Lonchura striata: one gene and its partners. The protein of the gene in region 3 interacts with the protein of the main gene of each other region in a biochemical or structural test. Links are inferred from orthologs where the notes say so. Each region holds a gene or a part of one and is shown on either strand. Other genes may lie near its edges.

Region 1 (6,994 bases), about 3.7 Mb from region 3:
CAAATCCAACAGCCTGAGGTCTGGAAGGTAACAGAGATATTGATGATTAGGACCAAGAAGCCCAGCAAAGGCTGAGGGATGAATGAAATTGTAACATTACTACATGTAAATATAAGTGATCCTGAAAAGTCAGAAGCAATGCTTAAAAATCAGACAATCTTACCTATACAAAGCATCATCAATTTCCATAGAGTCTGCTGCCATGATTCAATGTGATTTGTTTACACTAGAAGGGTTACAAAAAGAAATGAGCTGGTTATGTCCAATGCAATTTCATAGCTGGCATGCCCTCCCTGCCCCACTCAGTTCTTCATTAAAGGAACTGAAAAATAAAAAAGTGATGCTACACAGGAATAACTTTGAACATTAAGAAGCCTGTGGAACATCACAGTGCCTGGGTAAGGAAAATACACAGCCAGAAGACAAAACCCCACCAATCTTCAATAACTGCATTCAAAATACAAACACATTAATTTCCTCACTGAGGAAATGCAAGACTTACTTATTGTATTTGCCACAGTTAAATTTACTGAAAGAGCAACTTCATTCTATATTAAGAGCTCCAAGCTGATCAACCTGCATCTATCTGATCAGTGGGTTTTTTTTGAAAAGAAGATAGAAGATCACTGAATGGCTAGAAATAGGCATTTATGTTGCATTATTTCTATGTTAATTGAAAACCTTTAAGAAACAAGTATTTCAGTTAACTGAAGAAACCAACACCCAAAGATCTGAATTACTGCAACATTTAATTAAAACATGCAGTTACACAGTTTGATAGAATTGTAAGAAAAAATGTAATTTATGCTGTTAAGTCCTTCGGCCATTAACAAGGATGTTTTCATTGTTAAATTGGTGATAACTAAGCACCAGGATTAAGAACAAGCTGCCCCTGGGCACCTTGTTTCTTTCTTATGCACATTGGGAACTGGTGCTTCCTGAACCTGGCAGGTGACTGCCACCAAACACAGGATGACCAAAATAGACCCTGTGTGTACTTTTATAGTAGTGATTGGAACTGATGTTCTGGGTCACATATCTTATTTCAGCTTTCTACAAACTGCCTTGGAAACGACACATAGCTGACAAACCTCTCTCCTGAGACTGAAAAGTAAGGGCCCAGACATATTAAGGACATTTTTTTTGAGAGCACAGATATACCCTAAGACAGTTTTCAAACCTGCCCAAAATCTAACTCCTATTTACTGTTCAGTTGATTTTGGTAAACATTTTAACCTTTCTGAAGTATGGTACCTCGAGTCTGTCACAATGTGGAGACTGCAACATTCTGACCCAAAATTTGTCCTTTTGGTTTTTAAAAAGTGCTGAAATAGCACAGCAAGGGACAGAGTTACATTGGATACAGGCCACAAAGTTCTTCCACCATGTGGATATTAAGTCCTGCATTTCAGTGAGCACTCAAGGCATGAGGCAGCTCCACCAAGTCCACATCACCAGCCACTTCAGAGCAGCTCCCATGCCCTTGACACCACAAGGGCTGAAGACAAGCAATGACCATTTAACCAGAGCCAGATCTCAAGCCAGAATGCAACACACCATACCTTACAGTCACAGGCTTCAGTCCCTGCTTAAATAAGGGCCTTCATTTCAGCCACTGCCTGAGACACAAGACCGGAGGTCCCCTTCAAAGCAAGCCATCTAGACCAGAGCTGCTCTGTCCTCCACCATCAGCCTCCACAAACAGCACTAGCACTCTGGGACTACACCACAAAAAAGGACTGCAGTACTAAGATGGGGAAGGTGATCCACCTCTGGATAAAAACGCTCAGCTTATACTGTTGTGGTTGCTGACAGTCATCTCAATCTCTACGCCCTCCCAAACAGACTTCTGTAAACAACTAGAACGTGTGATCAACTGGAAAGAGAAACTCAGCCACCTGTTTCACACAGACTCATTTGACAGTGGTTCTTTCAATATACTTTTTAATTCCCCATTTTCCTCCTGCAGACATAGTTACAGCACTGAGATGCTGCCGGTGCACCCACCAGGTAAAGGAAAATACCTCTTTTCACAAGGAGGATTTAATGACATTATGGTCAAGCGACTGTAGGACAAACTTGGTTAATGTATTTCTGCATCCAAGTTATTTCTCACTTTTGTTCCACCAGCACTGAATCTGTTTCAAAGAAATGCATGTAGAAAAGTCATTCTAGCATTATGTCCTAGTTCTTACCAGAGGCTCAACATTTACACAGCTGTCTGTTTCCTTTTAAAAGCCAACACTATCAGTTTTAATGTCAGCCTTGTATTTAACTGTTTAAATCAAGTTCTTAATTTTTTTAAGCCTCAGCTGCATGCATGACATAACCCAGGGACAAACCAAGAAGCTACATGTTACCGGGAAGGACTGAGATGTTCTGAAGAGTAGCAAATGCGCAGGAGCTGTAGCGGTGTGCTGGTTTCACAGTGTTCTTACCTCCGAGCCAGCGCAGGCTGAAGCAGTGTTAACTCCTCGCTGTTCAGCACGCTGGGATGGCACGGAGGCCTGGGCTCATCCCACCTGCCCGGAGCTTCCAGCGGCTGATCCCAATCGATGCAGGCTCCCTGTTCAATCAGCGGGAGAGAGAGAGAGGAGGCTCAAACCCAGTTCCTGCCCAGCCGAGCTAATGCGGGAACACCGACCCCGGGGATCTGCAGCGGGGAGCCCGCACAGAGCCCACGGGCTGCCTCGGCAGCACCGCGCCCGCAGCAGAGCCCGGCGGCGCAGCCCCCGCCCGCCGCTGCCGGGGCGCTGGGCACCGCTGGGCACCGCTGGGCGCCGCTGGGCACCGCCGGGCACCGCCGGGCACCGCCGGGCACCGCCGGGCACCGCCGCCCGCCCCGGACACCCCGGACACCCCGGCCCCGCCGCCGCCCGCTCTCCTCACCCGCGGCGGCCTTGGCGTGGCGCTCACAGGCCCGAGCGCGGCGGGCGGCAGGGGAAGAGGCAGGAAAGGGGTGGGAAGCGGCGGCGCCGGTGCCGCGGCGCTTCCCCGCCTGCGCCGACGTGCGGGGCCGGCGGGGCCGCGCCGCCCTCAGGAGGCGGGTCCGCCGCGCCCGGCAGCGGAAGGGGCTGCGCAGCGCCGCCCGGCCGCGGCCGCTTGAGCCGTTGGAATCCTCGCCATTTTCTGCCCGGAAAGCAGCACGCCGTGCCGTTTAAAGTAATAAAATTAATAAATCCTCCTTAGGTTCGAGTATGACCAGTTTAGACGATGAAGAGCGCTTCCGGGCCCTGCTCCTGCGGTACCTGCCTGTGTGTCTCGCAGGAGAGCGCCAGCAGGATGTCACCGACCGCACGAACAGGCAGAACTTCATTGAAGCGGTCTCGGGGGCCAACAGAATACTAGATCGTAGCCAAGGCCTCAGAGAAGGTTTGACAAAGAGTTATCAAAAGCAAAGTACGGCCCATGCCGGGGTGGTATACAGGCTTGTGGAAACATTTCCTCTTGTTTTGGTGGTGATTAAGCAGGAGAGAGCAAGTCAAGCAGGAGAGAGACAGCCGCCGCGCTGCCTCCGCCACCAGCTCCACGCCACCCCACTAAAACCAGCATCGCTTCCCATCAGTATTTTCTCTCCCATTTCCCAGACTCTTGATTAAGGTCCCAACAGAGCCCACCTTCCCATCAGCCAGCCTATTATCCCTTCACCTTGATCCCTTTTGTTACTCCGATCACTTAGCGTAGATGAGACGAGTTTAAATCATTCTCGATACCGTTAGCACATCTTGTCTAGAATGGAAGGGATTCAAGCACTCAAAAGTGTCCATGTATACAGTGAATGTAGAATAGTCATCTTGTATTTTAAAATATTTTTAAGTTTAAAAACCCCCAACCACACCAACCATCTGCATCCTATGGTACACAAGAAAAAAAAAATCCAAACAGGTAAGCTTTTTGTCTATCTTAATTGGAGTTTGGGGAACTTGTAAGAGCAAGAAGACCCAAGTTCTGTGCTCTTTGTGAGCACCCAGTGCATTATTTTGGCGTTTCTTTTAACAGAATTCTAGCAACCCTCAAGATTTACGCCTCAATCCAAGAGCGCATACCACCTTTATGTTTAATTACTAACAAATATTAAGAGCAGCTGCACAACATTGTGCTCTTTCAAACGTGGCCTGTGCTTTGGCAGGATTACGATGAAGGTTCTTGTCTGCTACAATGCTGTTTCCACAAACAGAAATAATTGGAGAAGACGTGGGCAAATTTCAGAGAACCACTAGAGGACACTAGAAGTCTGCAATGCCGAATTCAGAGACGGGATAATGGGAGAAAACCGTTCTGGATGTCGACTGCAACCCTTACCAGTAAAGAAATTGATGCTAAGGCTGGTATTTGCTTTGTAGCTTTTTCACATAATACATAAAAATCAGAACATGGAATAATTACTTTCATTATTTCAACACAGTCATTTCAAAGAGCAGTGCATGTATCTAATGCACGGAATTAACAGGAGTCCCAGTGACCAAGGTGGGGAGGGGGGAAATGAAAAAGAGTTTAAGGACACCAAAAAAAGTCAGTTTTGGTTTTGTCACTTGCATTGTTTTTTGTCTTGTCTGTTATTTTTACCCTTATATTTGTGGTTTCTTTCCTTAAAAATTAACTTTTTTTTTTTCTAATCTCAAGGTTAACCTAATCATTCTTATTTTCAAGCACTTTACCCATCAAAAGTATTATGAAAAATAATAATAATTAAAAGAATCTGCTACCTACCATCTTTGTGTCCCAGTCATTACATTTTTCAAGACCCAGTCCACTTTTATACAGTCATCTCACATAAAGTAGATTTTGCATAGTCACAGCAAATACTGACAAGCCTTTTGCCTAAGTGGAGAAACAGCAACATCCAGTTAATTCTCACTTAACCCTTGAACAGTAACCAGGCAAACACTAACAATTGTTGAAACCATGAATGTGGGCCTTCTAAGATAAAATACTACTAAGAAATTGACAGATTCTGTTTACCCCAGAAGCCAAAGAAACAAATTCACAAATGCATCAATTAGCAGGTGCACCCAGGAACTCTATAGGCTGATGGTACCAAATCAAAAAACATACAGATTTTCCCTAAACTTTGTAAGACTGCAAAATTTGAAGCATCTGGAGTCATTTGACTTCCCCCCGCCCCCCATAGTCTTCTTCTTAAAAACTACATATAACATTAAAATCTTAAAAAAATTGGTTAAATAAATTAATTTTAAAGGAAATCCCAGCTCCATATTAGCATCACGTTAGAGTCAGCTATAACTTTTGAGGTAGGAAGAAAAGCTGTCAGTTTACAGATTTGCTGAAGCAATAAGTGAGATGAGGCTGCGGCCAGGAGAATATAACCACCTCCAGATTTGAGTCTATTCATGTCCCAAATCTCTGCAACTTTACTTATGTGCAGATGCATTCTGCATCCAGATACTGAATACATCTTTAGAGCCAGTGTTTTCAAATGGAGCTGTAAATCTCCTTTCTATCTCCTGAGAAAATTCAAGCCACTTGGGTATTTTTAGTCTTTAATTTCCTGGTTTACAGGTGCAATTTCACATGATTAGTGGGACTTCATAATGGAGATTTGTACACATACATTTGTTTCCCTAATTGATTTAGTTAATAAGCAAATTAGCAGACAAAACTCTTGTAGATTTTTCCCTAAAAATGTGTTATTTGAAAATACTAAGGCAAACACAGTTCAGTTTAGCACACAGGCCAGTCCAGAAGTTACCATAAATCCCCATCAGCATCTTTCAATGAGTTTCCAAACATCCTTCCATAGTCTATGGCTTGCCGTTAGCTCTTGCAAGAGCAAGGTGCTGACTGGCAAGGCTTTGTCTCCTCTTTTTGGCAACCCATGCCATGTAGGAGTGTTTTGATGGCATATTTAAAAGGACTGCAGCTTCCCAGCAGGATAGGCAGAAGGAACTTGCTACTTAAAGGTGCTCTAGCAAGTGACAGCTTCCTAGAAACCATGTTAATAATGTTGATAAATCCAGCTAAACAATGTTGATAAATCCAGATAAACAAGGGCACCTTATCAAGGGCACCTAAGCTGATTTCACACTGAGATGTTTATGAATGTATTTCCAAAAGCAAGAGCCAGTTTTTCCATGCCTGTGAATCTGCAGCACAGGCTGCAAGTTGCCAGATAAACATTCATTGGGTTAAATAATGTCTTTTGGCTCTCAGCTCATCTAATTTGTTAACAGGAATAGCAGATACAGAATGGGATTTTCTACAAGCTTTACTTACATAAGAAATCCTGATGACAGATTGATGTCATTCAAGCAGACCTCCTCATGTGATTAGGCCTTATGCAATCAGCCTCTTCTTTCTTTCCTACTCCGGCTCCAAGCTGAAAATTAGCATTGGGAAAGCCCCAGACAACTCATTTGGAATAACCAGAGGTTTGGAACACATTTTTTGATGCTTTAAATCTACCTGGGAAATCTCAGGAAAATTGGTACCAGCTGCATAGAGTTTCCCATAGCAAACTTGCAGGGATGCAAGGACACGCATGTTTTTTCCAAGGGCAGAAGCAAGGTGGTAAATTCTTGAATTCAGATCCATTCTTGCATAGTACTGTCTTAACTGAAATTGACCTCTGAGTGTTTTAGAAAAGTGTCTTACCTTGTCTTCACTGAAACACCTGTAAAGTTCAACCACTGTTAATAACAAAACGATTCCTAGGACAGGGAATGGATAGAACTACAGAAAGCTGTAGTTTTAGAATAGTTTTAAATAAAATAAGGAATATTTATAAGGAAAATAAGGAAGATTAGTCTATTTTGCATCATATTCAAACTTTAGCTTATTATTATGCAAAGAAGAAGGTCAGAAAAAATCAATTGTTTTTAAATACATTTAATGTTATGAAACATATTGCCTTTATTTTGTTTAAATCCTTGCTAAATCTTAACATCAAGAATAATAAAAGGCTTTTAAAAACCTTTTCTTTAATCACACAGTAGCCTCGCTGTTTTACTCTAAGGCAGAAAACAGAGTCATCATA
Region 2 (7,870 bases), on a different chromosome or scaffold from region 3:
AGATTCTTGTTGAAGTTGATTATAATCAAAGCAATTGTATCACTACAACAACGAGTTGCACTTTATCTTTTCATTAGCACTACAAGAATGTTATCCTTTTGAAAAGATAAAACCCTGTATCAAAATTCATATAGGATATTTTTTAAGAAAGCGACACCGAAGGTTCACAGACTGCAAAGTGCCCTTGGCCAGGCCACACTGGTCTGAATAATGCTAAACTAAGAGGTAGATCTACATACAGAAAGTAATCCCAACTGCAGCAGACTGAAGTTTCCTGCTGGAAGTGCACAACAGGCAAGACACAATCCCTTCTATCCCACTTATGCTGTATCATAGCCCATACACTGCTAGATCCAAAAGAATGGATTCTATTCAATGTATCTCAGGAGTATACCTTGTTATCCTTGACAGTCCACTGCCCTTCTGCATTCTGCTGGAAGACACAGTGCTTACGAGAGATCATCAAGGGACAGGTTTTTGACACCAGCTGGTACGTGTTATCTAATCCTCGGCCAACAGTCACCTAAAAATAAAGTAGCATAGTTACTGCAATCAGTAATGACATGGTAAATTCAGTTTATGGCATTTCAATTTAAGTACAGCAAAACTCTATATCAATATCTTATGGTTATTTCCAAAAGGTCTGGCATAGTATGATTTTTTTTTTAATTTAATTTTAAGAGTATATAGAAAATAGAAGCTTATAAAGTTTGAAGTATTATCTTTCTCTCCCACTGAGGAAATTTTAATTTCTCTGAGGCACGTTACAACTTGGTTTCATGGAAATCTTCCTCAGCGGCAAAGCTGCTCAAAGCCACTCAGATACAACTCTGTCCCACCTCAATCATTACCTAACCAAATACCATTTCTTCAAACCAGCACTATTGTGTGTGGGTCTCAAGACTACTTCTTAACCTCTTCTTTTGCTAGTTGCATCTGTTCAACCATTTGTGAACAGAAAAGATACAGGAAAAAAATAGCCCAGAAAACTGCCATCAAAAAAAAGTGCACACTCAACATTGTCCTAAATACACAGTACTTTTGTAAATCACACCATCGATCTTATGGCTCAGAATCTAAGCTACATGCAGCTCATAATCAGTAGTAAAAGTGATCTAAGTAACTGCATTAGACTAATACTATTTTCTGGAAGAAGGCATATATTTGTAGTATTGCACAGTATCTTTTTAAATCTCATCTGATTTCAGATTGCCATTTAAAGCACATCCCTGCTCTCCCTCCCTCTGCTGCCTCCTCTGCACACTTCTCTTAATTAATCCGCATTACCTGAGCAGTTCTCACCTTGAGTTTAGAGCAAGAATTCAGACCCCCGTGTCATAACCAAAAGCAAGGAAGCAAACTAAGATAACAAAAGCAAACTTAAACATGTTAGTGCCTACCTCTTAAATGTTTCATATAGTTTTCTGTCAGCATGGATTGCATACATAAGAGGTACAGAGACTCAAATGGATAAAGACTCCCTTCTTCATGAGGATTCAAACATAAAAGCAGCTTTGCATTTGTCCCTGCAGTGGCATCCTCAGGGCCCAGTCACACACGTCTACAGGACCTCACATATCAATATGAGTGAGAGCAAGCAGGGGCAGTCATAAAATTCCCCCTTGATCAAGCTCATTTAGCAAGCAGGGGTCCAAGATGTTACCACTCACCTGCTGGAGTTCAGTGCTGCTCACAGCAGTACCGGCAAATCACATCCCATTCCCACATATGAGCAGTGTCCTTTAGCACCAAAGTGGTCACAGCACCAAGCCTGATAGTGTTAAAAAAGTGTTTGGATAACATCCTCAGGCATGTGGTGTGATTCTTAGGACTGTCCTGTGCAGAGTCAGGAGCTGGACTCAGTGATCCCTGTCAGTCCCTTTCATCTCAGCATAATCTATGATTATGATTTAAATCTCCAGCAAAAGCAGTTTGTACTCTGTGGCCTGGCACACCTACAGCACCTCCCTGCTGCAAATGACAACCACTGTGCATACAATCAGAATAGTAACATACCAAACTGGATTCCCTGCATAATTATCAGTGCCTTGGCTGCAAGTTGTTAGCGCCAGTCCTTCACCGAGGAGATCTGCAAATCTCAGGGCTTCAAATCCACAATGGGAGAGTAACAAAAGCATACGTTTGGATGGGTGCCTTTTGCGGTGTTTGAACACAAGGCCTTGGCCACAGCATCACCCATACCACCTGATTTTGACCACCGGAACAGCACTCCTTTTACGCTGCCCCAACGTCATCACACGTCTTTGCCTGCTGGGTTTTAAAGAAGAGTACCAGGGCCCATTTTTCAATTTAAAAACACAATCGCTAAGAAAACGGCTATTCCCGTACCGCATCAAAACAATTTAAAAGTGACTTCATTTACACCTGAATACCTTATGCCTTAGGTACTGTTAACCTCGCCAAAAGCACCACCTTGTTAATTAGGCTATGGGCTCCCTTCGTCCTCACTTACGTTACCGTTACACGAACAACTCTATCTAAATATGACATAAGAATGTAAAGACATAAACAAGCGAAGGCTCGTCCAAGGCCACTCCAGCGCCTGGGTCCGTCTTCCACGACCGGGGGCGTTACCGGGGCTGAATGGCGCCCGCCCGGGCGGCTCCTCCGAACGGCCACGAACGGAGGCTGCTCCTTAAGCGGGACAAGGCGGTGCTTTTTCCTCCTGGGAAGCGCTGTAAGAAACACGAGACCCCACCAAACTGCGCCCCGAGAGCCGTGCCTGCCCCCCCGCCCACTCCGAGGGGTCGGGGCCCGGTGCGGCTCACCTGCGTGCCGGCCTCCAGCAGGAGCCAGTCGCCGCTGGCCCCGACTCGGCGGAGGCACCAGGCCAGGCACGGCACGCCGCGCACCGCCATGGCGCCCGCCCGCCGCGACCGGCGGGAGCGATCTCCGCGGCGGGAGCGATCTCCGCGGCGGGAGCGATCTCCGCGGCGGGAGCGATCTCCGCGGCGGCAGCGATCTCCGCGGCGGCAGCGATCTCCGCGGCGGCAGCGATCTCCGCGGCGGCAGCGATCTCCGCGGCGGGGCGGCGCTCGCAGGGGCCGGGGCGGGCCGGGGCCCGTCCGAGCCCGGGCTGCGACCGGAGCCCGCGCGTGCGCCGTAGGACGGCGGGGCCGCCGCGCGGCGCTTTCCCGCAGTCCCGCCGCGCTCCGCCGGGTCCCGCCTCCCCCTCGTACCGCCCCTTCCGGGCGCCCCGGCGCTGCCGTCCGCCGTGAGGCGCCATGGCTGCCGCCGCCCGGCTGCGGCGGCGGCTGCTGCTGGCGGTGCCATGGCGCTGGCGCTGCAGTCCCCGCCGCGGCGGTGCCGCCTGCCCGTCGGCGGGGCAGATCCGCGCCGCCTTCCTGCGCTTCTTCGAGGAGCGCCACGGCCACCGCCGCCTGCCCTCGGCCCCCGTGCGGCCCCGCGGCGACCCGCGTCTCCTCTTCGTCAATGCGGGCATGAACCAGGTGCTCTTCCCTGTCCTGCACCTCCCCTCCTCCGGCTCGCCGGCGCTTCCGCATCTCAGAGGAGCGCCGCCCGGCTCGGGGTGTCCCCTGCCAAGATCTCCGGCGTTGCCCTGGGCTCCCCGCGCCGCCGTCCTGCTGGACGCCTCTCGTAGTGCCGCAGTGCTGTGCGAGTCTCCCCCGCTGGCGATAGTTTAAAACTGTCAACACAATCCTGTGCCGTGTGTTCTGGAACGAACTAGCTAAAGCAGGGAGGTTGGACCAGATGGCCCACTGTGGTCCCTTCCAACCTGACCCATTCTGTGTATCGGGAGCCCCAGGCGCAGGCTCACTGCACTAGGTGGCATCTGTCCATAGCGGGTACAGATGCCACCTAGGCATCTGTAGGAATGCCTACACCTAGGCATCTAGAGCGTGTGTCTCTCGTTTCCAGTTCAAGCCCATTTTCCTGGGCACGGTGCACCCCCGGAGTGAGCTGGCCCAGTACCGGCGGGTGGTGAACAGCCAGAAGTGTGTGCGTGCAGGAGGGAAGCACAACGATCTGGAGGATGTAGGCCGAGATACTTACCATCACACGTTCTTTGAGATGCTGGGGAACTGGTCCTTTGGGGATTACTTTAAGGTGAGGTGATAGTAGTGAACCCTTTCTAGGGGAAAACATAACCTGCCTTTCAGAGCTGTGCTGTAGTGCCATAGGAGTGTGTACAGAAGGTGTTTTGGTAAGATCCAGATTCATTCCTGGGGGCTCTGTGGCCTGGAACAGCGGTGGTGAGCTCATGGGCTCTATTGCTGAATGTGTCCTGAAGACTCTCAAAGCACTCAGCCTGCCAAAGCTGTGACCAACATGTAAAAATAAAAGTTTTCTGTGAGAATGCCAGTGTTAGCCACTTAATATGGTGTAAAGAGGTTACCAGCTCATTTAATGTTTGTTACTAGAAGGTTTGAAAAGGGAAGAAGAACAAAGGATGCTAAGTTTTTTAGGTGACATATAGATTTTTTCTTTGGAAATTAAATAATCCATGTAACTCTGCCAGCAAGCACATAGATGCACACCATGCTGAAGGGCTCACAACATTTTAGAAATGTCAGTTTTCCACTGGCAGCAGTGAGCTGTTTCATTCTCCTGACCTTCATCCTTGCTCTTTGCAATAAGTCTGAAAATTAGAAAGGGAGAGAAACAGCTGAAATTAACTTCTTTGTTGTTTGATTCCCATTCTAAAGACTCTGAATTATTGTGCTTCATTTATGTTCCCTACCTGCTCAGGAGGAGGCATGTAGCATGGCCTGGGAGCTCTTGACAGAGGTCTATGAGATCCCCAGAGATCGTCTCTATGTCACCTACTTTGGTGGAGACCCCTCGCTGGGGCTGAGCGCAGACGAGGAGTGCAGGGATGTGTGGCTCCACTTGGGGTAAGTGTGTCAGAGAAGAGGTGCTGACATTTTACTTTCCACAGTCTTGCATTTGCTCTTTAGTTGATCAGCTGTGGGGGCCAGAGAGTATGTTTTACCATTTTGTTTCTGGTTTCTTTGCGCTGTTAAAAGTCAGCTGGGCTCTGAACTCACTGGGTCTCTTGAACTTTTGGTTCATTCTCAGGTAGTATCAGTGGGGGTGGGTATGTGCCTAAAACTGGCTGGCCTGGATGAAGTACGTACAGGATCTCCAATCCTTTGCTTCCTCTCCATCATGAGAGTGTGTTCTCTGAAAGCAGGCAATGTCTGCTTCAGTGAGAGGGTGCAGCCATTGCAGAGAGCACTGCTGTGCTTGGGGATCTTGTTCCAGCTGTATGTAGGCTTTGAGCCCAAGGCAGACAGCTCTGTGCCACTGATGGTGTTCAGGTCTTGCCTCTGCTCCAAGGAGCAAGGTGCTCCACAGACCCAGTGGAGAGCCTGTCTTGGTCAGCAGGGGCCAGGCTGTGTTTGCCCATAATTCTGGGCTGAGACTAGGGTCCTGTGTGGTTTGGCTCACTTAATCTTACTAAGGAGAGTAATTCTGTGTGAAGAGAAGGAAGCAGAGGAAGTAGAGAAACAGAGGAATTCTGATGTGTTTCCTTTTTGAGTCTGTAGAAGGAAGAAAGGATTCCTTTCTTCCAGCTTTCTTTGTGATCTGGGTTACTGTGTGGTTTGTGTGTATGCCTCAGCACTGCCATCTCTGTTATCTGCCTTTCCAGGGTTCCTGCCAGTCACGTGCTTCCTTTCCCATTGAAGGATAACTTCTGGGAGATGGGGGACACAGGTCCTTGCGGTCCCTGCACAGAGATCCACTATGACCACGTGGGTGGTGGCAGAAATGCTGCAGCACTGGTGAACCAGGGCAGCCCCGATGTAGTGGAGATCTGGAACTTAGTTTTCATGCAGTACAGCAGGTACCAAGCATCTCATCTGAACTCCAGAGCCTTTCCCCCTAGCCTGACTCCAAAATCATGGGTATATTCTCAGACTTATCACTGGTTTCCAGAAGGTAGCAATACCAAGACCAGGAGCAAGAGAGAAACTGTGGAGATTTGCCCAGCATGGCTCTTGGTCCCCTTTGCTTTAAATCCCTGTCTTCTTCAACCTTCACTGCCTATTCTCCCTTAATGCTGCATTCCAGAGATCTCTTGAGGTCTGCAGCAGTCTGGAAGAGGAGGAGAAGGCCTTTTTTCCTTACATTGCAGCCTATCCTACATTGCATTTTCCTTACATTGCAGCCTATGCTATGTGATGGTCAGATAATGGCTGCCTGACAGGGCTAAGGCAGGCTGCTGTCACTCTTATCCCTGAGCTTCCTTATGCTGGGTCACCCAATGTTTCCATCCCCTGTCACTTTCCCATTCTCTTTGATTCACCTGTTCCTTATTTTTGCTCATGAACTGATCCTTGCTTCTCTTTTGCCTTTTATTTTTCCTGCCTGGCTGACAGAGAGGTGGAGGGGAATCTCCTTCCCTTGCCGCAGTACCATGTGGATACAGGAATGGGTCTGGAAAGACTGGTGACAGTTCTGCAGAACAAACGTTCCAGCTATGACACAGATCTCTTCACTCCCATCTTGGATGCTATTCACAAGGTGATGGTGCTTCTGCTTAGAGTCACAGCTCAACAAAAGCTCCTTGAACACAGACTGCTTGCTGGGTAGCATAGTATAGTCTTCTCTGAGCAGTTATTGAGCAGTGTCTTGAGGCGGGAGGTTATGTCCTGCCAGGTCCAATGCAGTGTTCTAGAAAAAAGGGAGAATTCCAGGCTGGAAATCTGCTGGAATTTCAGCACTGCTGATTCATTTTCCTTTAAAGTGTTTTAAGTTTCTCAGTGCTAGGGCATTGGCTGACCTGTGTTAGTTACAGAAGTCTTGGTCTGTAGTGCCGTGGAAGGATTTGATGAGTACATCTTAGGTGCACGGGGTTCAGAGGTACTTGAAAAACATGATGTCAGGCATAGCTGGCTGCCTCTTGTGTTGAAACTTCTTCTGCAGCCATTATTTTCTGCTGATTTTCTCTCTACTTTCTCTTTTAGGTCTGCAGGGCACCCAGATACCAAGGTTTGGTCGGGAATGCTGATGTTGGGCGTGTGAACATGGCCTACCGCGTGGTGGCAGATCATGTGCGCACCCTGTGCGTGTGCATCACTGATGGCATCTACCCAGGCTTCTCTGGAGCAGAGTAAGGACGTAAGGAGATGGCATGAGGTGGAGGAAGTTAGGTCTAGAAAGGAATATGAACAGCCAGGGAAGAGGTTCTAGTGTGGGCCCCAGATAGGGAGTACATGAGCTTTTAGGGAGACAGGAAGATGAGAGCCAGGAAGGGGTTCCAATCTGCAGACTTCCCCTTGGATGGGTGTAGAGTGTTGGGAGCATCTGGCCTGTGCTGATGAATCAGACCAGATGAGCTGGGGGATGCTGGATGTGGCAGCTGGGCAGGGATGCTCACAAGGCTGCCTGAGGAATCCTTCTCTGTTTTCAGACTGGTGCTGCGTCGGATCCTGCGCAGGGCTGTACGCTTTTGCTCTGAAGTTCTACAGGCTCCACCTGGGCTCCTGGCCTCCCTGGTGCCTACAGTTGTGGAAGTGCTGGTGAGTAAAACTGCTGTCTTGGGGGAAAAAGGTCATCACGCATCCTATTCAGCCCCAAGTCCATTTTCTGCATACTGTCAGGAGTCAATTTTGGATGGGAAGGAGCTCCAGGGAGATGTTACCTGATGGTATGCATTCCAGCATTAAAAACCTCTTGTCCGTATTATCACTTGTGATGGGAGGGAGGGGACATAGTGACATCAGTGGTACAGTCAGCACAAGCATGTGTTACTGTATGCAAGTAACCTCTATAATATTTGTGACATGCTGCGAGATCCCCCGAGGAAGATGCTGAGGATGTTATCACTAACTGAGGCTCACTTCCACAGGGAGATGCTTATCCAGAGCTGACAAGGAATGCC
Region 3 (7,226 bases):
CAGGGACTCGGCATTTTGCTCCGTGACTTAGAACTGAGATTAAAAGCACTTCTAATTCAAAGGAAATGTGGATTAGCTTGGGAATTGTTTAAGTGAAAATGTCAGAGAAGCTGTTGAAGAAATAATGGGAGATGAAGAATTGGCCAAGTTGGAATATGAAGAAAGTTACCTTTTATCTAGTATTTCTTAAAAACTAACTGCTGCCTAACACACTGACCTTGGCTTCACTCCAGATGTGAAAGGGGGTTGCCTACCTATTCTTCCTAACAGGAGACATAATGGTCACAGATGCATCAGCAAGGAAACACAGCACTGCTAAGGCTGTAACTGTGACCTAGTCATCCTCACTGAAGAGGAGAAGCCCACAGCTACACAGAAGGGCCTGATGATCTTTGGAATTTGAAACAGATAAAGTGGAACCCAATGGCATCCCCAAACCTGTTTTTTTCCACTGTCTTCTAATGGCACTTGGCAAATTCAGCATTTTTTGTTGTTGTTGTTGTTGTTGTTCTGTTAAAAAAAAAAAGGCCAATGGAACAATCTTGTTTTGTCCACTTTCTCCTGTGATCTTATTCTTTCTGGTATCCACTGAATCAAAAGGGTCCTCAATAAGGTGAGTTTTGCTCAGATTAAAGAAGGATTTGTCTGCAAGCTTGATTTACAATAATTAAAGGAAAAACAAGTTGGACAGGATGCTGAAAATTGAGGCCTGGTAATACATGCAAACAGGGAGAAGCTGAAGCTGTTGTTGTTCATCTTAGTGCTTTGTTTTCCAGCAGCATAAGCTGAAGTGCTCCAAACAGGAACTAATAGTAATCTATTGGATGGATTAGATGGATATCTTGCTTTTGTTGAAGTTTTTTTTTTTTCTCTCCTAAAATGGAAAATATTTTTGGAAAACATTTCCATCTTGTTTCCCCCTTTCCTCTCAGATATATGAAGCATCTTGTATGGAATGCTGCTTGGTGTCCACGATGTTTGGTTGCTCCACCTGTCTTGAAGGCAGGTAGAATAGCATGCTCCAAATATAAAACTGGTTGGTCTCGGGCAAGCAGAACTGAAAAACCAGCACTGATGTACAAGTAACCTCTGTAAACCTTTAAACTAAAAGGCTGGGCTGCTTTTCACTCAAATCCCCAAGGGGCACTGCTGTAACAGGCAAACAAGGCAACCTCCATTCTTGGCTGGACCATCCATTCCTATGTTGGACCATCAGGAAGTAGCTGAAATGGACTGGTGAATCCAGCCTTTGGAGGCTGTTGATCACTTGGTCACACATGGCTCTGGAACACCATATTTGAAAAAACAAAATTTAAAGACAGGTTCAAGACAGCTGGTCTGCTCTCAGTATTTTTGTGCAAACTGTTTATTACCAGGCCACATCTACTGAGGTATTTTGCATAATAAACCTCTAAAAGTCTAACCTGACTCCACTGCTGTGGAGGATTAGACATGGTAATACTTCTCTACAGCCACTTCTGAGGATTAGCTTCAAAAATCAAATTAAAATGAAGCAAACACAAATAGTTCCACAATAAGTTGCAACACCCTTATTCAGTAACCATCATCTGCACCTCTTGCGTTTTATATTACCATATGAGGAATCTATGCAAAAGAATATACATACTGTGTGTGGTAAAGCTGAAAAACTCTGCATGGGCAGATCAACATATTAAGATTTTGAGGCCTTGTTTGCCCACACATTCCTAGTGAAGTAAAAAAACTATTTGGTTTTATTTATTTCCAAATACTGAGGAGAAAATACATGATTTTTACCTCACAATTTGAGGAAAAGGAGGTGAGAGTGGAAAGCATAATGTTCTCCAAGCAGAACTGTGTGCTTGTGACTTGCAGAACAGGTCACAGAACTGTGACTGCATGTCTTGTTTTTCATTCCGACACAAGCCATAATTTTTTTTTTCTCAAAGGTCAGTATTTAAATGTGCAGATTTGTTTTTTAAAAATGACCAGCAAGTGCAATGAAGTGTTTGCCTAAACAAGTATACTAAACTAAAATTTGCAAATCTGTTTCTGAGCAATGGCTATAAACAAGACCTATCCAGTAAATTTGAAATTCTCTTTGGGGTCAAATGCTAATAGACATTGAATTTAACACGTAAGAAAACTTGATTTACCAGATTAACAATTCCAGTTGTCTTAAATTAGCAGGGGAAATTACACACTGCCAACAGTATGTTTATGCTGTTCTTAATTTCTTTCATTATACAGAAAACGTGAATCACAAGTCTGATCAAAAATGTTAATATAAAGTCATATTAGAGGTCATTAATCTCAAATAATAATTACAAAATGTAAAACTGGAATACTGCCAAGTATCTAAATCTCCTGAGATGACAAACCATAATGAAGCTCAGAAAGTTTGTGAGCAATTTACAAGGCAGAGCATCATGTCTGTGGTGCAAAGATAGACACGCTGGTGATTTGGAGCCGTTTAATAGCATCCGTAATCCAAAACTGGAACAGCAAGGTGTTCTTCAGCAATATTCTTGACTAAGATGATAAGAATGAAAATCAAATCATTTGTAATTACACTTACTGAACATGCTGTTCAGTACAATTAAAAGAATAAGCAAAAAATGAAGACTACATAAGGAAGCTGCTAGGATTGGTTTAGCAGATCATAGCAAGATAACTGGACTTTAGAAGTACAAGGTATTGTTTACTCTTTTGCTTGCAAATATCAGTTTTAAAAAACAATGGCAGTTCTACAACTGTGCTATTTTTAATAATAATAAAAAACCTCCACTGCTCTCCTAATTCACTGCTGCCTGTTGTCAAGCTTCATACTGAAAATGTTGTTACACAGTAAGCTTTTCTGAATATACTGCCTTCTCCAGACCAATAATAATTAGTATCCTAGACAGCAAGACAACTAACACTATGGCACTAAAACGAACACAAATGGAGCCCAGTGCCATTATGTGGACATCCCCCTGGACGTCAAATGTCATGTTTGTCACTTATACATTCCATCCTTACAGAAGAAGGGCAGTCAGGCAATCTTGCTCTTGTTTCACGGAAATGGAGTAGGAGTCCTTCCCCTTGTAGAGAACAATGTATAAACCTGCACCATTTATTACGGTGCAAAAAAAAACCCACGTGGCTGAGAGTGATCTGTTGGCACATGCTGCACAAAATAAAAAGCCTCCAAGGAGCTGAAGTGCTACAGAGGGTACTATTGTATATAAAACAATTGTATCTCATCCTCTAGAACTACCTAAAAGATTGTCATGAGCTGCGGGTCAGTCTCTTCTAGACTGCCTGCTGTGAGGGGACTAGAGGAAATGCATTAAGGTGAGACAGGGTAGTTTCAAATTAGGTATTAATTTTTCTCAATGTTTAGGTGGTAAAGCATTGGAACAGGTTGTCCGGGAAGGTGGTAGAGTCACCATTCCTAGAGATGCTTAAGAGGTGTCTGTTAACTGGCACTGAGTGGTAAGGTTTAGGGGGTAATGCCACGTGATGGTTGGGCTTTATGATTTTAAAGGTCACTTCCAATTTTGATGATTATATGAATATATGATGCATCTGGCCCTTGGACTGACAATCCACGTCACCATTATCTTCCCTTTGGTGATGTTTTGTCCCCTGTACTGAGACACTTGGTTGGACGTCCTCGTGTATGCCGATACGCCACTAAAAGGAAGCGTCCAGGCCCCTTACCCCCACACCAGGCCTCCGCTCTTCCGGGGCAAGAGCAGAGCTTCAGCTTCGTCACTCGCACCGCAGCGAACGCTGCAAACCCCATGGCTCGGGGGCTCCCTCCCTGCTCCGTGCCCCGGCGCTGCCGGCCGGCCGTGCCTGTGGGAGCGGCTCCTTCCCGGGCCGGGCGGGCGGTGACCCCTCCGCGGCGCCGGCCGGCGGCTGACGCGCGGAGGAACACCGCGCCGCCGCGTCAGCGGGCGCACCTAGATCCGGCCGCTGCCGCCATTTCGCGGGGAGGCGGCCGGGGCGGACCCGCCGCTAGCGGTGCGCGCCCGCCACCGAGCCCCGCGCCCGCCGAGCTCCGGAGCCGCCGCGACCCCGGCAGCCGCGGGCAGGAAGAGGCGCACAGCGCTCCCGAGGCGGCGGCGCCCACGGGCAGCCCCAGAACCTTCCTTCCCCTGCCCCGCCCGTTCGCCCTTGGGCCCGCCCTCGGCCCCGCCCCCCGGAGCCGTTGGCGGCGGCGTGCCGGGCCCGGCCCCGCCTCCCTCCCTCCCGCGGCGTCCGGGCCTGGCCAGCGGCGGCAGCGCGGGGCTCTCCTGCCCTTCCTCTCTCGCTCTTCCCTGGGCGGGTGACGCCTCTCGGCTCTCCCCGCACTTCGCACCCTCTCCCGGCCGTGACGGGAGGCGGCGGGCGGAGCGCTCCCCCGGCAGCCTCACGGCCCCGCTGCCCGCAGGCAGGCAGGACTTGGGCGGCCGGCCGGTCGGGCGCCCCCCCGGCTGTTTCCGGAGGAAGGAGAAGAGCAGCTGCCCCCTCCCCCCTCTCCGCCTTCCTCCCGGTTCTCCTCCTCCTCCTCCTTCTCCTCCTCCTCCCTCCTCCCGGCCCCCCGAGCGGAGCGCGGAGTCACCGCGGCGCGTAGACGGGCCCGGCACTCGCACACACACAATGGCGCTGAAACGCATCAACAAGGTGAGTGAGCACCGCGGCTCCTCCTCCTCCGCCGTCCCCCCCCTTCACCGCTTCGCCCTTCTTTTTATTGTTATTTTTGGGGTGTTTTATCTTCTCCTTCTCCCATCGCTTTCCTCCCCCTCTCGCCCCTGGAGTCTCGGGCGGGGGGGGGTGGAGGGGAGAGGCGGAGGCTGAAGAGGCCGGGCAGCGGCGGCTCCTTCCGGCGGGGCCGCGGCCCGGCTGGGGCTGCGGGGCCGCTCTCTCCGGGCCCGAGCTCGGCCCCGGCCCCTTCCTGAGGGCGGGGGCCGGGGAGGTCGGAGAGAGGCAGCTCCCGGGGCCGCTCGGATGTCAGCGCAGCCCGGGGTCGCTGCCGGTGCCCTTAGGCCGAAGCCGGCCCGGATGGCGGCAGCCCGTGTGTGCCGAGAGGTTTGGGTGCGATGGAGGCGCTGCCCGGGCAGCAGCTGGGCCCCTCGGCCGGGTTCTCCCCTCTAGTGTGCAACTTCTCTCCCGCATTGTAAGATGGCGGCGGGTCCGCCTGGCCCGGGCGCTTTCCGGGATCCCTCGCGTTCCGCAATAACGCGGAACTGACACACGGAGCAGCCACCGCGGCGCTGCCCTCGCCCTGCAGCCGCCCCTCTCTGCCGCCCCGGGGCTCTCCGGGCACCCGGGAATCCATCGCCTGTCCGGGAATCGCTTCTCCCCGCGACCGGCCGGGAGCGCGCTGCGCGCCGCCGCCTCCCCCCGTTGCACAATCGGAGCCGGGTGGAGCAACTTCGCGGCGGCTAACTCGGAAAAAATGCCGAGGTGATGAAAGTTTGGTTTTCTTTTTTGTGTGTGGGGGGGGTTGTTTTTTAAGATACCTCTCCCAGGGCTAGAAAGCTCCCGGCGTGAAGTTGCCCCTAAGTGGGTTTAGGTTTTGTCGGCAGGTTTGAGAATTGCTGGGATGTAATGGCAAAATGCGATGGGTGCGCAGCGGCGGAACCGGGAAGTCGCTGTTGGTCTGTGCTCCTTCTTACGCGAGCTACGTGGAGCAGTTACGTGTTTCAAGAGCTCAGAGGAGTTTCTTGGTCATCTCATAGCCTGCCAAGATGGCAGAACGTCAGTGTGTCCTGAAATCGGTGAATTTCAGTGTACAAAACGCCTTTTGTAGACAGTGTGTAAACTTCATGCCGCCTCTTGGTCTCGCTTTAATTTCACACAGTGCTTGTGGTCGTATTTTAGACAAAACAAGCGTTTTTTATAACGTTTTTAGTGAATGGATAGTACTGTTACCCTCGAAAATTTTAAATCCCTTCTGTGTAGATAGCTGAATGGATTGTCTTTGAATTATGGCTGTGCTCTGGCAAGGATTTCAAAACAATTCCTTTAGAATCTGCCATCAAAACTTGTTCCCTGTGTTAGTGGATGATAGCACTTGAGTTGAAACACAGCTAGGATACTCCCTGGTATGCTTTGTCATCAGCTCATGCTTATGAAACACGTTCAGGCACTGCAGGTAGGAATTTATTGTCAAATGTAAACCAAGACAAACCCCCACTTATGTAGTAATCTGGTGGTCAGAACCTGGAAACGATTCAGCGTGACTCTTGAGCCAGTAAGTCATCTCTGACTATAGCGTTTTGGCCTGTTGTGTACACTTTTGTATTGGTCCTTAATCTCCATTGCGCTGTGTAGTAGCAAGGTTCTTCCTTTATCCAGTGCAAGAGTTTACGGTTGGGAACATAGCTGAGCTAGGGTTTTTTAGGGCAAGAGTTTAGGATTGGGAAGATAGTTAGCTCTGTTAGTTTTTAATTTTTGCCTCCTTTTTTTGTATGTGTTTGTTTGGGGTTTTTATCAGTTTAATCACACCACATTACAAGATAGACTTCTAAATTCACGTGGAGTTTGTAGTTCTGATTTTTGTATTTGCAAACCTGGAAGATGACCTTAATTTGTGGAATGAAGCCAATCTTTGCATGTTGCTTTCTTCCTCTATTGGTTTCCAGTATAAATGTTTACAGAGGCTGCTGCTGACATAAAAAAAAAAACAGTAGGGCCAGTTCTATAACAAAATGGTTGTGAATGTAATTTTAATCCTGTCAACCAGTAAAATCCAGAGAGAGCGGTGTTGTCACTGATAAACTAGGATTCCCTGTCTTCCAATTGTAAGATCACAGATCAAACCTTGGAATTCTCTGCTTCCTTGTAGTATGTCTTTATCAGTAGATGAGAACAGGCTAAAGATAAACCAGGACCTCAGAACATTGTAATCACCATAGCTGATTTAGTTTGTGCTATTACTTGTCAGAACTAGAATTCATTGTCTCCTGCAGCAGATGACATCCTGAATGTACCAGTGAAGATATTTTCAGTCAGTTTGGTTGACTCCCTCTTTGTGGACTTGACATATCAAGCAAAATAACATTTTTCATTATATTGAGTAAACTAGACTTGAGACTCTGTTAGAGTGTGTGTGTGTGTATCTTTAATTTGAAGTCTGTTACACATTCAGAATGCAACCACTCGTAAGACATAACTGGCAAATTCTACTTCTGATTTGAAAATGAATGTAAATTAGTATTTATGTATTGGGTTGTCTACTTCTGGAACACCCTGTATAAAGCACTCCCCAAACA
Region 4 (7,889 bases), about 11 Mb from region 3:
TTTTGGAGAGATGCCAATCATGTCAAGCACTTCTGAGAAAAATCAGTGCTGGGATTCCTTCACTGGGTAAATAAACTAAATAATTTAGATACACTTCAAAATAAAGACTAGTCCTGCCAAAAATACATTCAAGTCCTCTTCTTGGAGCTCCTTAACACATTTCATAAAAATCAAACAAACTCCACAAGATGGAAACCACCTAAAACATTTAGAAATTCCACTTCAAACACAGGAACGCAAAGAAACTGGGCAGCAAAACCTTTCAGAGAAGCTGTCCTGCTTTGTTATTAGATAAAACAAAGCAAGGTCTGTCATCTCATAAAATTACATTTCCTGACATAGGTTCTAGAATGAATAATCATAAATGAGGCCACTGAGTCTTGATTATAAGGTATGACAGAGTCTACAGGTTGCATAGCTTTTCGGAAAGAACTAGAATATACAAAGAAGGTGATGTCTTCCCATCATGGTACATACATCTTCTAAATCCCCTAGAAAATATACTTGAAGAAAAACTAGTAAAGAAATCATGAGAACTAAGACTGCAAACAACTTAGCAGATTGCAGGCATTCAAAAATTGCTTTTTGAAGGAAAGAAGGTAAAAATGTAGATACTTGGAAGCCAGTGGCGAAACTTCTCTACTCGTGTTTAACATTCATTATGTCTAACTTAAGGGAAATTTACTGATTTTAAGAAAAAAATTCAGAAAGTGCACAAGCCAAAACGAAATGTCTAGTCTTGCAGCTGACAAACTAAAAACAATGTCAAATGTTCTTCACAAGACCTCTATCCTTAATAATAACTTAATTTAAGCTTTCCACATAAGTTACCTTGCTCTATTTGACTTTCAGTTGGACAGTTAAGGATTTCTTCTCCTTGCCTCAAAAACAGAGTTTCAATCAGGAAGCATTCTTAGTATTTACATAACATTAAACCAACACGGATTGGAACACCAACATGCTTTGCTAGAAATTTACAGAAATTCTCAAAATTACATTGTTTTGCTGAATTAACTATCTGACTGCCCTTATCCCAAAGCAGAGGCCGTCAACTGTTTTTAAATGGTGGAGGAAAAGACAGGAATGCAACAAAATACTGTCACCACATGGTACTTACCCTAACAGGAGGGCTCCGTGCTTGCACCCTTTGCTGCTGTCCAACTTGTGAGCTCTGCAGCTCCTTTGATCCGCAATTAGCTACAGTGTTGGTGGGGACCCTCAAAGCATTTGTGCCGGCAGTCCCACCGCCGGCGCTGGGTTTCCGAGGCCTCTGTTTGATGCCATCCAGTAGTCTAACAAGCAAAATATTACTGGGGAGTTCATCAACACCGCAGTCCACTAAAGTCCGGCACTCGGGACATCGCAGCTCATTGCGAGAGCTCACAATGCCCAGCAGGCAGCGTTTACAAAACGTGTGTTGGCAAGGCAAGACTTTTGCAGAAGCGTCAAGGCGCTCTAAGCAAACAGGACACTCCAACAGATCCAGCAAAGCCGATTCATCCATTTTCCTTGTATTACTTAATGAAGAAACAAATTTTTGCAGAATCTGTGTGTTTTGAAAACTGCAAGGGTATCATGTTACATCCATTCCTCTTCCGACTGTACTCTAAAATTTTTTGAGGGAAAAAGGCATTAATAAGCTGGAAAAAGTCAACAAGACCATTTTATATGACAATGTTCATACAAACAGCAAAATAAGAGATCACTGGACTAATTCAATAAATGAAACATGAATACAGTAATATCAATCTACATTAATGTATTTATTTATTTATTTAAAATATTTGAACAAATGCTAACAGCTAAGGTTTTTAAATTCAAGTCTTCATAAATTTCAGTCTGAGTGACTTTATTTCCTCAAATTATTCCAGAACAAAGAACCCAGTACAGCAGTACAATAAAGCTTACTTTTCATAGTTCTTAATACATCACTCTCCGTGAACATTTGAGATTAGCTTTCTTTCACAACAAGAAGATGGCAAAGGTAACTACAACGGGGTCCAAAACGACACAGCCTACACCAAAAGGGTACAGCAAGGAGAATTACATTTATGCCAACACTAAGCCAACAGTGAACTACATTTCTACCCTTTCTATAAAAACTACTGCAGCACATTACACAGCTCAGCCTTGAAAACGGCCTCCAGCTCACAGGGTTTTAAGCTTACCGCAAGCACTGACAAGAGGGTTCATTACAGTGCCGCCTTTAAGAAGCGCTTCAAAAACTATCGCGAAGTGATTTACAGCAGGAAGTGCTACTGCCATATCGTTAGGACAACACGAGCGCTGCGTATGCAGCCACAGAGGCAGGGGCGAGCCCCCAGCAAACTCCAGCCTATGTAGCGACGCGCTGGGAAAAGGAGGGGAATAAAAACCAAACACCACTAAAGAGCCCCCCTAAAAAACAAACATTCTGCGAGAAGTCACACCAGGATGCTCCGCGGACAGAGAAAGGCTTGCTGACCTCGGCAGTGCCCGGCTCCGGGCGAAGTTGAGCGCCTCCCCCCAGCCCCCGCAGCCGCCCGCGGGAGCGACGCCCCCGGCTCCCCGAGCGCTCGTCCCGCACCTACCTGCTCCCGGGCTCCGCTCCCGGACCGCCTCCCCGATTCCCTGCTTTATACTGCCCTGCTCCCGAGGGAACAGCGACCCGCAGGCGGGCGGACACGGCGGCGGCGGCGCGCACGGGTCCCTGCGGGGACACGGGGCGAGCGGGGACGGCTCCCCGGGAGGCGGGGGCGGGCGGGGGCCACGGCGCTGTCAGCCCGCCCCGCGGCGCTGGGCAGAGGGAGGGAGGGGTCGGGCCCGCGGCCCCTCCGCCGCGCCGCCCCTCGGGGAGCGCCGGGGTCCCGGGGGAGCTCGAGCGCCGCCGCGTCCCCGTCCCTCACCGGCTCTCACCGTGCGGCCGCGCTGCCCCCGCTTTGTTCCCGTGAGGAGCCGCCGCCGGCCCCGCCGCTGCCTCTCCCGCCGCGGCAGCGCGGAGACTCCCGCGCCCTCCCCGCCCCGCCGCGCAGGGGCCGCTGACGCGAGGCGCGGCGCCGCCCCGCCCGGCGCCGCCCCGCCGAGGGGCCGCGGGCAGGGAGCGGGGGCGGGCCCGGCGGTGCCCGCCGGCGGCACCGCCCCTCGCGGGCGGGGACGGGGCGTGGGGCCGCCTCGGCCTCCCTGCCGCCCGCACCTCGCTAGGTGTCTCGGCAGGGGAGGCGGCTTCCTGGGACGGGAGGAGCAGGCGCTTTCCCCCTGCCTTGTGCGTTTGGGGCAGCCCGGACGGGCACCTGGGGCTGCCGCTGTCCGCACGGAGGCGGTGGCGAACGAGGATGAGGGACGGAGGGAGGGAACGAGGGTGGGTGGTCGCTCGCTCGCTCCTCGCAGGGCTTCCCCCGCTCGCTGTCTGTGGTAAGTCGTACCCGGAGCGCCGGCCCGCGGCTGCCAGGCCTGCAGAAGGAGGAGCCGCGGTGCCCGGAGCCCTTGGCGGCCCGCCCGAGGAGGCTGCTCGTGCTGGGCGGCCGTGTGCGGGGCGGGGCGCCTCCCTGAGCCTCCCCGGCCGTGCGCCCGCAGCTCCCGGCGCCTCGGTGGGACGCGGTGAGGCCGCGGCTGCCGTGTCACGTCCATCGCTGCCCTCGGCTGCGGCTCTGCTCCCTCGGGCCCTTGCAGCACGCTTGTGCTAAGGTCGAGTGCAGCGTGTTCGTGGGCATGGTTAGTGCTGGATTAACAGTTGGGCTCGCTGATCTTGGAGGTCTGCTCCAAACTAAACGGTTTTGTGATAGGACTGCTTCATTAAATAAATGATGCCAGAAAATTGGTGAGTGCCTCTCTTCACACACTCCCCCCACACACACAACCACACACCTCTGTATTCAGGATATGATGCACTTGCTTGTGGGGTGTTTTGTGCGAAATACTTCTCTGCAAGACTGTGGGAATGAAGGAGGAAATAAACCCCAAGATACAGCAAATTACCATAAAACAAAAAGAAGTTAAAGCCTGCACTTTTTAAATCAAATGACACCCCTTGTCTATGGGTGATGAAAAAGCTAGACAAATGTTTAAGTTCCAGTTATTCATCTTGCCAACTGCAAGTCAAAAAAGCAAGCAATCCTAAAGTTTGTGTGTAGTTCTAGCTTTCTAGTTGACCCTAAGAAATGGTATGAAACTGTGTTGGGGGAGGTTTAGATTGGATATTAGGGAAAGTTTCTTCACCCATAGGGTGGTTGGGCACTGGAACAGGCTCCCCAGGGAAGTTGTCACAGCAAATGACTGACTTTGTTCAAGAAGCATTTGGATGAGGCTCTCAGGCATGTGGTGTGATTCTTGGGGCTGTCCCTTGCAGGGTCAGGAGCTGAACTTGATGATCCTTGTGGGTCCCTTCCAATTCAGGATATTCTGTAACTTTAAATTTGCTGTCATCCTTACTTGAATTCTGTGCATATGTATAAAAAGCTGCCTTTTTTTTTTTTTCCTTTTCCTTTTTCACACATGGATTGTGTAGGTTTGGATAAGCTGATAGTGTGACAGTCTTTTCTGTCTTACTTTCTGGATATGCTAACTTGTTTGTTTCCAATGGTAATGATATTCTCTGATTATTACGATTTCCAAGTAAGTACTCTCTCACACTGCATCTCTAATATTTTATTTTATTTTTCAGTCATAGTAGTGGAAATATTGAAGCTGCTAAATATGTACAGTTCATTAAGAAATAAGGTTTCCTCCCCCATGAGTTCTGGAGTTTAGGAAAACTGATACAGATGGGTTTCTGGTCTATGTCTGTGCTTTCCAGGAAGTATCGTAACATAAATAGAAGGGTATAAACATCTGATACATAAGAATATTCTTATGTCTCATAGTATTCCTCTATCTTGCCATATCAGTGCTGTCACTACAGGAAAAAGGATAATCAGTACATTTGAAACAGAGACTTGTTAAATCTAAACAAAGTCTTCTTTCACAGTTGGATTTCACTTTTAGACTTAGCTTCTTCAAAAGATCTCATGGTAATTATTTGCCAGCCTTTCTAGCATAGTTTTGTTAGCAAGACAATTACTGTTGTCTAAACTTACTTTGCTGCCTAAGGAATGTAAAATATCTATTAAAACAGTAAAGGAATTTACAACACAAGTGGTGCACCAGGGAAGCAAGATGAAAGTTCAAGGAAACAGGATAAAAAGATTACTCCTTTATCAGGGCTGGTCTTTGATAGTGTTTTATGTAAAGTCTGTAATATGCTAAATACATTGTGGAATATAAACCAAAGCAGTAAACACTCTGAAGAGCATCAGGTAAATATGTTACTTCCTGAGCAGTAGCTGCAGTTAATTTTCAAGCAATTATGATCCATGTAAAAAAATGTGGGAGTGTGTGCAGAAGTATGCCTCTGCCCTCTTACACGTGAAGTGTTTGACTCAGAGAGGCTGCAATACTCTGGTGCCAGGACCAAAAGGAACAGAATTGCTGTTACTTTCTTGCTACCAGCCATAAGCAGGGAATTGCACTATTCAGACATTGCACTGTTCAGACATTTTTATGTGAGGTGGCCTCACTTCTTGAAATTGTCCCATCCTTATGCACAGTTCATTAGTTTCTTGTACAGTTGTTATTAAGTACATGATGCAAAGGGAAGAAATCCCTTAAAAACACAGATTTGAAAGATGAGGCCCACCAGTTACTCAACCTGGATTTTTACAATTATAATGTCTATTAATATATGTATCTTACACATTTTTGTGTAGTGAATTGTATTTTTGTCACTGGGTTTCAGGTATACTTTATATTTTTCCTCCAATGTATATTGTTTATCTTCACCTGGAAGCTGTTAAGTAAAGGAAGAAGCAAAGGACAATAGGAAGAACAGCAAAGGACAACGTCAGAAAGAACTGTAACACCTTTTGCTTTCCTTTTTTCTGTCTGCATCCTTAGTGCAATAAACCCACTGTGGTCTCTGCACTCCTCTTTCATCAATGCGTTCTTTTTTTCCTCTCTAAACCGAACAGCCTAAAGGCCTCTCCCCATGTCTTCAGCCCACTCTATTGAAACAGTCACACTTTCTATTATAACTAACTCTTACTGCAATAATTCCTGTTTCTGGCACATTTCCAAGTACCCTTAGTTTTTCCTCTGTCTTTAAAATGTGAGACAGTCTATACTGTACCTGGCTTTGACCAGCACTGGTTAATTGATAAGTTGGCAGCTCACAAGAAGAGAGAACAGCATCTGTTGCACCCTTTCCTGTAGGAGGGACATTCAATATTAGATTATTTTTTATATGACCACTGTTTTCTATAAAACCTCTAGAATCTTAATATCTCTCCAGATTTTCCATCAAGTTTTGCCAATGAATTATTGGGAAGAGGGGGTAGGAGATGCACTCTATAGTCATCTGCATCTAGTTTCTTAGAAAATTTTTAATAGGATATTTCAGAATTGCAAATTTTTCAACATGCAAATCTTAAAGATATTTGGTAACTAATGCACTAAATGCACTAACACACTACAGAACAACACCAGGTCCAATCTTCCTTCTAATCCTACAAAATGTCCCTGAAGATTATTACCCTGGACAGCAGGGATAATCCATCTGCCTGAAAAAGTCATGTTAGCACTATATATATTTAGAGTAATAAAACTGAGTGCCATGTAGAGAAATGCAGGCCTACAAGAATAAACATATGAAGGCACAGTTAATTTATTTGTGAATTCCATCCTGAAAGTCTTCAGATAACTGCAGAAGGCTCAAACATATTAAGACTCATGGAACAAGATGCGTTATGTAAGAAAACACAACAGTCATAGTCTGAATTAATTGTATTCATAGTTTTATAAGCATCTTTTTGTTTTGAGCTACATTTTTTTACTAAAGTATTTTTAAAGCTTTTTTTTTCTTTTTTTTTTTTTTTTTTTGGTAATTTAATCAGAAAGGATGTAATGTTCACATTAGCCTGTCTTTCCCATGTAATACCGCTCTCAGGTACAGACCAAAAAGGTTAATCTTATTTCTTTGTAAAATGACCCCTGGTGATATGGTGGCGATTCCCTTTCAAAGACCATGCAAAATTCCCACTGACATCCCTTTAGTGAAAGTTTACTGCTGATGGCCACACTGATCTTGCTGGTAAGTCAATGTAAAGCACATGATGAAAGATGGCCCATGGCCAACTTTCTTAAGTCTGGTGGAAATGAGCAAAGATGTTCTTCAATGGCTTCTTTCCTTTTTCATTAAAGAGTTGGGGTTTTTTGTTTCTTGTTTTTATATCTTTGTTTTTGTTTGTTTGTAGGTCATTCTGGGGTTTTTTTGTGATTTTGTTTTCAGGTTTTTTCAGGGAGCTAAGGTGGGATTGCAGTTTGGTTTTGCTTTGCTGTCTTGTTTTTTTTTGTTGAGTTGTTGGTGGGGTTTTTTTCAGTTAGTACCAGGTTTAAATTATCAAGCTCAGTTACTGTTGGCAACAATTCGAGCAGCAAGGAGCTCAGCATGGTTGATACTGATCCAGTTGGTTTGCTGGCAAACTGAGTTTTATGCTATCCTTGATGCAATTTCTGGGTTGTGAACTAGTTTTAACTACATCAATGACAAACTTCTAAGGTTTTTGCATCCTGCTAGAAGGATCTCCGCTGTTCTGGTATTGGTGAGGAGCTGGGAAAAATGAGTTGTAAAACTAGAAGCCCAAATGTACTTGATAGTACATTTTTATGCTGTGTTCTAGGCATCCAGTTTTCTTGAGGACAGTATCATTTGTGTATTCATGTCGTAAGCCAGTTCTCGCTGATAAGGTGAACCTGGGATTGTAACTTTGTACATATTGCTGCTATTGTAATAACTTAATTTGAGTCACAGGGAGGAAATGTGCAATACAAAACGTGTCTGTGGCATTAAAGAATAAAGATGTTACAACTCTTCAGTGTTT

What was found.
Region 1: the proteins of UBE2D3 (region 3) and UBA6 form a complex in vitro, tested with the Homo sapiens proteins (2 studies listed by BioGRID, with this or other methods). The link is inferred for Lonchura striata from reciprocal best matches to the Homo sapiens genes UBE2D3 and UBA6.
Region 2: the proteins of UBE2D3 (region 3) and RNF8 form a complex in vitro, tested with the Homo sapiens proteins (4 studies listed by BioGRID). The link is inferred for Lonchura striata from reciprocal best matches to the Homo sapiens genes UBE2D3 and RNF8.
Region 4: the proteins of UBE2D3 (region 3) and SH3RF1 form a complex in vitro, tested with the Homo sapiens proteins (2 studies listed by BioGRID). The link is inferred for Lonchura striata from reciprocal best matches to the Homo sapiens genes UBE2D3 and SH3RF1.

Annotation. Positions count from the first base shown.
Region 1 is NC_134606.1:44,859,961-44,866,954, forward strand, and holds the start of UBA6 (ubiquitin-like modifier-activating enzyme 6), read right to left. Parts: upstream 3,008-6,994; 5' UTR 2,890-3,007; intron 2,567-2,889; 5' UTR 2,439-2,566; intron 227-2,438; 5' UTR 205-226; coding exon 164-204; intron 1-163. UniProt on the Homo sapiens protein: Activates ubiquitin by first adenylating its C-terminal glycine residue with ATP, and thereafter linking this residue to the side chain of a cysteine residue in E1, yielding a ubiquitin-E1 thioester and free AMP.
Region 2 is NC_134605.1:29,922,180-29,930,049, forward strand, and holds the start of RNF8 (E3 ubiquitin-protein ligase RNF8), read right to left. Parts: upstream 3,012-7,870; 5' UTR 2,880-3,011; coding exon 2,790-2,879; intron 524-2,789; coding exon 395-523; intron 1-394. Other genes in the region: AARS2 (alanine--tRNA ligase, mitochondrial), read left to right, coding at 3,246-3,470, 3,901-4,089, 4,732-4,877, 5,636-5,830, 6,366-6,510, 6,954-7,099, 7,400-7,508, 7,838-7,870. UniProt on the Homo sapiens protein: E3 ubiquitin-protein ligase that plays a key role in DNA damage signaling via 2 distinct roles: by mediating the 'Lys-63'-linked ubiquitination of histones H2A and H2AX and promoting the recruitment of DNA repair proteins at double-strand breaks (DSBs) sites, and by catalyzing 'Lys-48'-linked ubiquitination to remove target proteins from DNA damage sites.
Region 3 is NC_134606.1:48,603,754-48,610,979, forward strand, and holds the start of UBE2D3 (ubiquitin-conjugating enzyme E2 D3), read left to right. Parts: upstream 1-4,210; 5' UTR 4,211-4,608; coding exon 4,609-4,632; intron 4,633-7,226. UniProt on the Homo sapiens protein: Accepts ubiquitin from the E1 complex and catalyzes its covalent attachment to other proteins. In vitro catalyzes 'Lys-11'-, as well as 'Lys-48'-linked polyubiquitination.
Region 4 is NC_134606.1:37,454,106-37,461,994, reverse strand, and holds the start of SH3RF1 (E3 ubiquitin-protein ligase SH3RF1), read right to left. Parts: upstream 3,010-7,889; 5' UTR 2,896-3,009; intron 2,719-2,895; exon of another isoform or gene 2,571-2,718; intron 1,607-2,570; 5' UTR 1,505-1,606; coding exon 1,118-1,504; intron 1-1,117. UniProt on the Homo sapiens protein: Has E3 ubiquitin-protein ligase activity. In the absence of an external substrate, it can catalyze self-ubiquitination. Stimulates ubiquitination of potassium channel KCNJ1, enhancing it's dynamin-dependent and clathrin-independent endocytosis.